Astyanax mexicanus: one gene and its partners. The protein of the gene in region 3 purifies or fractionates together with the protein of the main gene of each other region. This does not show direct contact. Links are inferred from orthologs where the notes say so. Each region holds a gene or a part of one and is shown on either strand. Other genes may lie near its edges.

Region 1 (3,756 bases), on a different chromosome or scaffold from region 3:
ATTTTATATATTTTTTGTTCCTTTAGGCAGGAAGATCTTATAAACATGAAGGAGTCTATAAGTTGACTTTGTTCAAAAACAGTGTTTTTATTTTCTTTTGTTTATGTTTTTACAGTTTAGTGTTCTTTAAAACTGATAATTGCAGTATTATGCCATTATATTATAATTATATCAGAGGCATAAAATCACAATAATATTGTTTACTGCAATCATTTCTGGGACACTATATAATCCAAGCAAAAACAGATATTGTGGCAGGTCTACATCTACTCTTTTTTTACATAATAAAAGTCTTCAAAATTGTAAAAAGTAAACCTTGGATTTTGCTTCTCCATCAGGACAGAAGAACATCTATATAACATTTTATTTAACATGTATGTTAAACAAAATGTTACAGAACATTTTTCTACACATTTCAGACAGTTTCTATTTATTTACTAAATTTAACACACTGATAAAAATGTTTATTACAAATACAAAAAATGTTTATTGTACCATTATTATGCTCAGTGATTGTTTTACTCAGATAAGTAATAAAAAGTGTTTTACCTGTCTGACTTCAGAGAAGCTGCTGACCTGCTGCTGCTGCCACTTCAGGCTGGGGGAGAATCCGTGAGGAGCCGTCCGACAGCCACTGAGCTAAACACACACACACACACACACACGTTTAGCATCTCACACACACCATTATATCACACACTCACACACACTTATCATTATATCTTACACAAACACACTTACAGAAACGTTCACTGACTGGTTCTTCCTCAGCTTCTTGGGATCAATCTGAGCTACAACAACATCCGGACACAGAGAAGCTTCACGCCTGTGATACACACACACACACACACACACACACACACACACACACACACATTCATACAACTCAGACTAGTTCTGTGAGGCTGCATCCTAAATCACTCTATGCTCCCTACATAGGGCACTTCAACTAGCCCAGGACAGTGCACTATCCAGGCCAGGGTACGAGGTATAAAGACTTTAGGCAGCTAGTCAGAAGTCAGAATGCCAGATTGCCAGTAGTCAGAATGCCAACTAGTCAGAATGCCAACTAGTCAGAATGCCAGCTAGTCAGTAGTCAGAATGCCAACTAGTCAGAATGCCAGCTAGTCAGTAGTCAGAATGCCAGCTAGTCAGTAGTCAGAATGCCAACTAGTCAGAATGCCAGCTAGTCAGTAGTCAGAATGCCAGCTAGTCAGTATTCAGAATGCCAGCTAGTCAGTAGTCAGAATGCCAGATTGCCAGTAGTCAGAATGCCAACTAGTCAGAATGCCAGCTAGTCAGTAGTCAGAATGCCAACTAGTCAGAATGCCAGCTAGTCAGTAGTCAGAATGCCAACTAGTCAGAATGCCAGCTAGTCAGTAGTCAGAATGCCAACTAGTCAGAATGCCAGCTAGTCAGTAGTCAGAATGCCAACTAGTCAGAATGCCAGCTAGTCAGTAGTCAGAATGCCAGCTAGTCAGTAGTCAGAATGCCAGCTAGTCAGTAGTCAGAATGCCAGCTAGTCAGTAGTCAGAATGCCAGCTAGTCAGAATGCCAGCTAGTCAGAATGCCAGCTAGTCAGTAGTCAGAATGCCATCTAGTCAGTAGTCATAATGCCAGCTAGTCAATAGTCAGAATGCCAGCTAGTCAGTAGTCAGAATGCCAGATTGTCAGTAGTGAGTTGCCAGAATGCCAGACAGTAGTCAGAATCACATGCTAGCTAGTCAGTAATCAGAATGGCAGCTAGTCAGAAGTCAGTAGTCTGAATGGTAGCTAGTCAGTAGTCAGTAGTGAGCATAACAGCTAGTCAGTAGTCACAATGCCAGAAAGAATGTAGTCAGTAGTCAGAATGCCAGCTAATCAGTAGTCAGTAATCAGTAGTCGGAGTCTATTAAGTAGTCAGTAGTTAGGAATACCAGCCCACTTAGCACTTAGCTCTTGGTCAGAATCAACCAGTGCTTAATAGTTAGAATGCCAGCCAGTCAGTTCTCAGTAGTTACAGTGCCAGCCAATCAGCACTCGGCAGCCAGATTTTCATTTTAGCAGCCAATCAGTAGCACTCAGTCCATAAAATGATGACATTAAAATATACATTATTTTAATTTCTCCGCTGTTTTTTTAGTAGAGATATAAATATCCTTTAACTAGTGTTTATAGTTTTCTGTGCTTACACAACTGTGTGTGTGTCTGTGTGTGTGTGTGTCTGTGTGTGTGTGTTTGTGTGTGTGTGTGTGTGTGTGTGTCTGTGTGTGTGTGTGTGTGTGTCTGTGTGTGTGTGTGTGTGTGTCTGTGTGTGTGTGTGTTTGTGTGTGTTTGTGTGTGTGTATAAGAGTGTGTGTGCTAAAAGCTCGTACTGCACGTGTCTCAGGTACTCCTGCGGGTTCCTCGGCGGCTCCTTTAAAGTGTATCCTTCCTCCTCCTCCTGCGCGCGCGGCTCCACCGGCAGCAGTCTGGGCATCAGCTCCTCCATCCCTGTCCTCTATTCACCTGTTCTACACACACACTCACCTGCTCTCAACACACACAGCTCTCCCGCTACTGTTTACCTCACACTGTTCTTCTCCGCCTGCAGCTCACACACACACACCACCACTACCTCCCCCTGCAGGACACACCGCGCTACTGCAGCACAGCTCATATACACACATCACTAAGTAGCTCCTCTTGTTTAGATGATCAGTTTTGAACATCTCTGCTGGATTTTCTCAGTTAGTTTTATGAGGTAGAGTCACCTGGAATTCAGTCTTTCAGTTAACAGCTGTGCTGAACTCATCAAGAGTTAATTACATTCAATTCAATTTTATTTATATAGCGCTTTTTACAACAAATGTTGTCACAAAGCTGCTTTACAGGAAAAACAGGTCCACGCCTCTTATGAGCAGCACCACAGAGATGCTGATTTTATGGTGACACAGTGGCAAGGAAAAACTCCCTTTAAGAGGAAGAAACCTTGGAAGGAACCAAGACTCAGTCCGAGGAACCCATCCTACTCGGGTTGACCCGCTCAGTACAAACAAACAACAAACAACAAACAGAACAAAACAGTACAGAGAATTAATGTGAACTATGGCTAATATAACAGGTACTAATTTATGAATATAAGAATGTGATGGGCACAAACTATAGAGCTATGGCTAATACAGAAACAGATACTGAGTGTGTTAATGGTAATCAGTGCAGGGCTGCAGAGCCGGAGAACAACACAGCGGGCAGTGGAGAGCCAGGCTGGGAACATCAGGAACAGCATCTCCATACATGTAAAAGAGATAGATAGAGAAAACAGAAAGGAAAGAAAGAGAAACAAAAAGCAAGAGTTAGAAGGGTTGTGTAATAATTCTGATTTTTGAGTAGAAGGACAGGGCTGAAAAAGGGAAGAAAAAGGGGTTAGAATGGTTTTATAAAACTCTGCTGGAGTGGGATGGGCACTGGTAGCAGCAGCTCAGGACATGGGGAGAGAAAGAGAAAGCAGATGATTAGGACAGGGTTTATATTTGCTGGATAAGCTGTAAGAGGAAGAAAATTGTAATGAGACATTACTCAAAAGCTTGAGCAAATAGAAATGTTTTGAGTCTAGATTTAAAGATTGAGAGTGTGTCTGAGTCCCGTATATTAATAGGGAGGCTATTTCAAAGTTGGGGAGCTTTATAAAAGAACGCTCTTCCTCCTGCATAGTTTTTTCTAATACGCGGGACTAATAACAGGCCAGCGTCTTGGGAGCGGAGTGAACGCGGCGGATTGTAAGGAGTAAGGAGTTCC
Region 2 (3,756 bases), on a different chromosome or scaffold from region 3:
AATAAGGTTTTCTCACCTTTGCCTCGTGCTGTGCTCCAGATTCGAACAGTCTGATCTCGACTCCCAGAAGCAAGGTAGCCTCCTCCCTCTATCTCTGTTAATCCATTTGATGCATCTGTTGACAACAAGCACAGCTGAGTTGTGTGAAGCATATTTTTCTAGGATTTAGTTGATATTTTGCCTGATGCATTTACCTACATCATCTATCTAAAAATTCTCATTATAACATCCACCATCAAACAAATCACGCACCAGTGTTGTCTGCTGGTCTAAAACAGTACAGATCCTCTTCCTTGGGTTCAGGACACCAGGCCAGGGCGTGGATCTCCTCATCGTGACCCCGAAGCCGATGGATTACCTCTCCTTTCTTGCTAATATCGATCAATACAATCATTCCATCCTTGTACCTTAAAGAAAAATGCCATTAGCTCTCCCTCAGACAGACATGAAAGGAAAAAAACATTTTACCATTGCATTTTGTGTGGTATGACACTTACCCAACTGCAACATGGTTCTCGTTGTGTGGGGAACATGCTAAACAGAAGATGGTTCTGGGTTCAGGGAAGAAGCTGTGGATGTCATTCCTGCTATACCAAAAGCATACCACAATGCCTTTCTCGTCTCCTGACACCACAAGACCCTTCTCCACTGGAGACCAATGAAGGGAGGTGATGATGTTCTAAACAAACAAACACAAAACACATTTCACAGCACATTACTCCAATAGACTCGGTTCTGATCCATCAGCTCACAGATGCCTTGTGCTGATCAACATCACCCTAGGACTGATGAGGGGAAAGAGCACCATCTAACCACCCAGAGAGAGCAAATACAATTGTGCTCTCTTAGGGCTGTGGCAGCTGATGGCAAGCTGCATGACCGGGACTGGAAAGAGTGATCTCCCAAACATAGTGGTAGCACTTTAGACTGCTGGACCACTCTGTGCCATCCCCCTCATTACTACATTACTATCATAATTGGCATTAGTTTCATTAGTCCCATAATAGAACCCTGTGGGATCCCACAAGATATTTACCAAATAATTCACTATAGTTTCTGCATTTGGACAATAACTTAAGGAAATGTAAAAAATGCCAGCCAGACAAAAGCTTTCCAACCAGAATAGACCAAGCTGGTCAACCAGCATAACCAGCAATACCAAGTAGGTTGACCTACAAGACCAAGCTGGTTGATAATTATAATAAAATGTAATGTAATGTAACAAAATAAAAATGTAACGTACACCGTGCTGGTCAATAGCTGGTTAACAGGTTTAAGGTATGCTTTTCAACCACTTTGACCACCAAACACCATTTGTCTAGCTCAGGGGTGTCCAAACTGCGGCCCGTTTCCTTTTTTAGACCGGCCCGCGAGGTGTTATAGAAATAGAATGAAAGTTGGCCCGCTGTTAAGCAGGTTTTTATAATGTGAGATTCAAAGTTTGAACACTAGGTGTCAGAAACGGGCCAAAGAGTCTAAAAGCGGAGAGAGTGCTCAAGTGTAGCACAGAAAAACAGGCCAAAGAGTCTAAAAGCGGAGAGGATGCGCATTTCTAACGCAGAAAAACGGGGCAAAAGAGTCTAAAAGTTGCCGTGATTAAGGAGTTTAATATTAAGAGACATCATGAAATTAAACATCAATTTGAAAAATCTTAGTTTACAAAAACACTGTCAAAGATAAAGATAGTCAGTCAAGTAAAATGGTGTGTAAATTAAATAATCAGGAAAATGTATCAAAAAAAGTTTGGACACCCCTGGTCTAGCTATACAACTAATTTCTTAGATTAAACTACATTACAAAGATATGTAATAAACAGAATTAGGATTTGTCCCATTTTTCCAATTGCCATAAAGAACAACCTTATAAGGTGTGGTGAGTCTCTGTGGAGAGTGTAAAGAGTACCCTAACCCCCTCCCACCATTTCTGTAAAAACACGCTGCTCCAGCTGTGGACCTACCTGATGAGCACTGTGCTCTGCCAACACAGCCTTCTGCTCAGTGTCCCACACCTTCACTGATTTATCATCTGAACTGCTGGCACAGATGTGCTCCTGCCCTTCATGCTGACAGAAAGCAAAGCCAGAAACTCTCTCTGTGTGACCACTGAGTTCTCCTGTGGGTCAGGAACAAAAACGACACTTTCAGTAGGATATGAATACAGAAATAAGTGTAGCTCAATTCCCAAAGGTAAACAACATAATTCTCACCTAGAACTGCAGCTGAGTCTGCAGTAACTTTCAGCAGGTAAACTGTGCTTTTAGCCCCAAAGCCCAGCACTCCGCTACTGTTCACATCACTGCAGCGGGAGCAGTACCAGTTCGGAGAAGCTGGAAGAAGCCTCTCGTGCATTCTGAGTGAAACGTGCTGTTTAAAAGGTGAGAAACAGGATTTCTGGTGAGTTACAGTGTTCAGCTAGCAGCTAAAGCTAACCGCTCCATTCACACACATGCTGCTTCTCCATCAACACAGCGAGAGCCGTCCGGCGGTGAGAGGTGTCGCAAACACTGCCGGTGTAAATTTTTTCCCCATTTTTTCTTTCTTATTGAAGCTTTATTAATAATAAATACAGTTTAAATATTCAAAGGCAAAACACTGGAGCTAATAGTCTGATACAATAATAGCGAAAGGCTAAAGAATATATTAAGCAGAAACAATATATATATATATATATATATATATATATATATATATATATATATATATATATATATATATATATATATACATATACAAATTAAATATAAATATACTTATAATATAATATATACAAATAAAATTATTAAAAAATAGAAACTCTTCAAAAGATGTAAAGAAGTTTTTTTTACACAATTTAAGTGTTTAATTCAAAATTATATTGTTTTAACACCTTTAAAGCCCATATAGCAAAATATATTTTAATAATATCTTATTTAAAAGTCTTTTTTTCTTCTTTTTTTCATTACTAATGCATTAAAACAACATAGATCTCTGATGTCAGAATTTATTTATTTACTTGTTCATTAATTTTAAGTTGATTTAACATTGATTGAACGTAATACATTAGATGATTAACATGTGTGCAAAAATATATATTTTTAATTTTTATTTATTTTGTTTTGAATTATAAAAAAAGTTATAAGTTAAAGTTCAAACTAAATGCCATGGTAAAATGCAAGAAAGGTATTTTTTATTTTTATATATTATGTATTCAATTTATATAAATATTAGGATCCATAGACAGGGTATCATTGGAATTCCAAAAAATCCTTTAAAAAGGAAAATAATATATTTGGTTATTCAGTGCTCTTTATAAGGACTTTATTTAATTTCATTTGTTTTTTTTTTGCAGGATAAAATAATTCTCCCTCATAACTAAATCGCCTCTATCTTTTTGCGACATTGGTGGGCGGTTTGCGGTAGTGTGTTTTCAGCATGGCGGTGTCCGCAGTGTCAGTGGCTGGTGGGTGAACAGAGCTAGCGCTTTTACTGTTTATAAAGATCCAGCTCGCTGTGTTTCTCTCTGATTTTAACGCGTTTATCATCTCCGCAGGTCCGGCCCTCCTCAGCCGGTTGGTGGGACAAATTCAGGCGAGGTTTGTTGCTTGTTGTTATTTGGTTAGCGAGTGAGTTAGCCTAGCCTAGCCTGTCCTGCAGCCTGTTGATATAGGTTAGCTATCAAGGACAGAGAAGTAGACCATAATTTAGATCTGCTGTATCCATGTAAATGACCCGCAGCTGTGTTTATATACACGTATATACACGTGTATACTGAATGTGT
Region 3 (3,756 bases):
CCATCATTTACTTTATTAAATGCCGTTAAAGCAGAGAAAGCACTAGAATATGCAGAACAGTGGGGTATGCAGTAGAATATGCAGGAACAGGGTTTAGAAACACTGCTGTAACCTGACCTCTGTTTATTTGTGGTTCACAGTTAGACCACAGTAAGACCACATGTCCTGAGTAAATACAGGAATTCCAGTCAAATCCAAATGTGTTTTTTTTTTTTTTTTTTTTGTAATTGTATGTTTTGCGCAACTATATAACAACTTATTCAATAGTGTGTCAATGTTTAAACCAGTTTGAGAAAAGTGTAAAGAGAAAGTGAATCTTGCAAAATTAGTTACTTTAAATAGGTGAGTTGGGAATGTTGCAAAATTCATTTATTTTAATAGTTCAGGGTTAGGGTTTTTTAGAGTTTGCTCAAACCTCAAGTATTAAGTAAAAGAGAAGATGTTGATCTGGAGAAAGAGGAAATGTGGAGAGGACTGAAATGAACTGATCTAATCAAGACTGGACTGAGCAAAAGAAAGAACAGGTTAAGAGAAGCAAGACTAGGCATACAGGATATATGAGTAATTCTTAAAGAGTACTAATTGTGTAGCCCCTTAGGACTAATCACTATTTAGGACTAATAAATATTTCCTTCAACAGTTTGTTTCCATGTCATAAAATGTAAAGGTACAATTTAGAAAAAAGTGAATTGTTTACATTATTACATTGTTACATTTTTAAGGAATATATCTGTCCTTTAGTAAAATCTTATGATACTGTTTTTGGGTCACCAACAGTCATTTAGCAGAATTTGAGCAATCCATGTTCAATTTTAAATCCATTGAATTAAAAAATATATAACTTTACATTACAGTGTTAGACATAGTAAAAAAAATTAAAGATTAAAATCTGATTATGATGTGTTGTTTGTAGATATTATAAATCAGGAAATATAGTGTACAGTCTCTATCTAGTGGATATCAGCAGTAACTGCAGCTGCAGTAACTCTCCTCTCCAGCAGAGGCCCTCAGTTCAGCTTCAGCAGTGAAACCCCACAACAGCAGTAGCGGAGCGGAGCGGGGCTGGAGAAGCATGGCGGCGCCCAGGAGACAGGCTGCTCATCAGATAGACAACAGGAAGCGCACTGAAGATGTTCTGCTGTCTGATGGAGTTCAGTTCAGCTCTCTGCTGCTCTCCAAACCCGTGCTGGAGGGGCTGTCCTCCTCCGGCTTCCAGAGACCCTCTCCCATCCAGCTGAAGGCCATTCCGCTCGGCCGCTGCGGCCTGGGTCAGTCTCTAGCTCACTTATTACACTAATACTCACTAATAATTACTATTAATACACTTACTCACTAATAGTACACTTACTCCCACTTACATTTACTAATAATACACTTACTCTCACTAATACTCACTACTAATACACCTACTCTTACTAATAATACACTTACACTTACCTAAACTCACTAATAATACACCTACTCTCACTAATACTCACTACTAATACACATACTCCTACTAATAATACACTTACTCTCACTAATACTCACTACTAATACACATACTCTTACTAATTCTCACTACTAATACACCTACTCTTACTAATACTACACTTACACTCACTAATACTCACTACTAATACACATACTCCTAAAAATAAAACACTTACTCTCACTAATACTCACTACTAATACACATACTCCTAAAAATAAAACACTTACTCTCACTAATTCTCACTACTAATACACATACTCTTACTAATAATTAATTTACACTTACCTAAACTCACTAATAATACACCTACTCTCACTAATAATACATTTACTATTACCTATACTTACTGATAATACATTTACTTTCACTAATACTCACTAATAATGCACTTACACCTACCTATACTAACTAATAATACTCCTACAATAACTTATACTCACTAGTTTTACACTTACTCTGACTAATACTCAGTTATAATACACTTACTTATACTCACAAATAATAAGCTTACTTTCACTAATCATCATCATCATCGGCGGTCACTCGTAATCGAGTATGACTATCCTCCTTCTTAATCCTTGTGGGTCTTCAGATGGGCGTAGAGGCCGATTCTGGACCCAATTATTCTTGTACAATATGGACAAGGGAAAGTAGCAGTAGTAGGTTTGGGTCTGGCCTGCTTGGATGTTGCTCTCTCTTTTCTAAGTCTGTGTTTGACTTATTGGCAATTGCCACCTTATCCTTCAGCAAGGTAAGTCCATCTTTAGAGCGAAGGGGGGTTAGGCAGCGATGGCTGGGGCCATATACTGCTCTTGTGGCATCAAAGAAACTCCTCATATCTCCATAATCCGCATACTGCTGGATCTCCAGAGCCTTCTTTGTCCACCAATGATTCTTCAGTTTCCTAACTTGCATTTGGACGGCTGCCTTCGCTTTGGCATGGGCTGCTCTTTTAACCTTACAGTTGATGTTATTTTGCCAGGAAACAAAGGCCTTATGCTTGGTGTCTATAAGATGTTGAATCTCCGCGTCATTCTCATCATACCAGTCTTGATGCCTCCGTTTTTTAAGACCAAGAATGCCTTTGCAGGATTTCATGATGGTAGAAGAAAGTATGCGCCAGTGTTCTTCAATGTCCTCTGGATACTGTTTGGGCAGGTCAGCACTCAAAGCGTTCTGCACCCCTCTTTCCCGCATTACACGAATAGACATGATGGAGTGAATAAGACGGTGATCAGTCCAACAGTCGTCTGCACTGTCGTCTGTCATTGATCTGGTGTTAAAAACATCATGGCGGTCTTTGGAGCGGACAGTAACATAGTCGATGAGATGCCATAGTTTGGAGCGAGGGTGCATCCAAGATGTTTTGAGCTTAGTTTTCTGGCGGAAGAGTGTGTTAGTGACGACCAGGTTGTGCTCTGCACACTTCGTTAGCAGCAGTAAGCCATTCTTGTTAGAGTTTCCAACCCCTTCTCTGCCCAGCGTACCCCGCCATAGATGGTGTTTTCGTCCCACCCTGGCGTTGAAATCTCCAAGCAGTATTAACTTGTCCTCCTTAGGGACTTTGGATAAAAGTTTGTCCAGGTCAGCGTAGAAGGCCTCCTTTACTTGATCCTGTGCATCAAGTGTTGGAGCGTAGGCACTGATAACGGTGGCTCTCTGACTGCTGACAAGCATCAGGCGCATGGTCATCAGGCGCTCATTGATGCCCACAGGGAGTTCATAGAGGTATTTGACAAGGCTGTTCTTAACCACAAATCCCACACCATGGATTCGCGCCTCGTTTGCGGGCTTTCCTTTCCAGAAGAAAGTGTAGCCACCTTTTTCCTCCTTTAGCTGCCCTTCATCAGCCAGTCGTGTCTCAGAAAGTGCTGCGATGTCAATGTGGAGCTTCTTTAGTGCCCTGGAAATGATGGCAGTTCGTCTTTCAGGGCGCACACTGGTTTGATTGTCCATGAGGGTCCGCACATTCCAAGTTCCAATATATAGATGTTTCCGTTTCAATTTCTGTTTCTGACCGCATAATGGTGATCCTTCTGGACGCGGTATTCCAAACAGGAGTTTTTGAGGCAGGCTATGTTTAGGGTACCTTTTCTAACCCCCTCCCCTGCTGGGGTGAGCAGAGTGGATCCTTAATAGGGCTGCTTAGTCATGGGTGCAGCTGCCGAAATGCTCTTTCTGCCTCAAACCAGGAGCTTAGCGACTGTATTTAACACCCTTCGCCTGTGTGCCAGGTTGTGGCTAGGAACTCCCAGACATCACAATCCTGTTCCCGTCACCAC

Evidence for each region.
Region 1: the proteins of ddx20 (region 3) and gemin2 purify together in Homo sapiens (affinity purification with mass spectrometry; 6 studies listed by BioGRID and IntAct, counting the BioPlex papers as one, with this or other methods). This does not show direct contact. The link is inferred for Astyanax mexicanus from reciprocal best matches to the Homo sapiens genes DDX20 and GEMIN2.
Region 2: the proteins of ddx20 (region 3) and gemin5 purify together in Homo sapiens (affinity purification with western blotting; 6 studies listed by BioGRID and IntAct, counting the BioPlex papers as one, with this or other methods). This does not show direct contact. The link is inferred for Astyanax mexicanus from reciprocal best matches to the Homo sapiens genes DDX20 and GEMIN5.

What each region holds. Positions count from the first base shown.
Region 1 is NC_064421.1:1,231,357-1,235,112, reverse strand, and holds the start of gemin2 (gem-associated protein 2), read right to left. Parts: upstream 2,567-3,756; 5' UTR 2,471-2,566; coding exon 2,355-2,470; intron 827-2,354; coding exon 742-826; intron 640-741; coding exon 550-639; intron 1-549. UniProt on the Homo sapiens protein: The SMN complex catalyzes the assembly of small nuclear ribonucleoproteins (snRNPs), the building blocks of the spliceosome, and thereby plays an important role in the splicing of cellular pre-mRNAs.
Region 2 is NC_064424.1:17,794,096-17,797,851, forward strand, and holds the start of gemin5 (gem-associated protein 5), read right to left. Parts: upstream 2,483-3,756; 5' UTR 2,349-2,482; coding exon 2,207-2,348; intron 2,113-2,206; coding exon 1,958-2,112; intron 680-1,957; coding exon 498-679; intron 408-497; coding exon 253-407; intron 116-252; coding exon 17-115; intron 1-16. Other genes in the region: mrpl22 (39S ribosomal protein L22, mitochondrial), read left to right, coding at 3,411-3,438, 3,529-3,571. UniProt on the Homo sapiens protein: The SMN complex catalyzes the assembly of small nuclear ribonucleoproteins (snRNPs), the building blocks of the spliceosome, and thereby plays an important role in the splicing of cellular pre-mRNAs.
Region 3 is NC_064419.1:43,219,937-43,223,692, forward strand, and holds the start of ddx20 (probable ATP-dependent RNA helicase DDX20), read left to right. Parts: upstream 1-1,013; 5' UTR 1,014-1,072; coding exon 1,073-1,268; intron 1,269-3,756.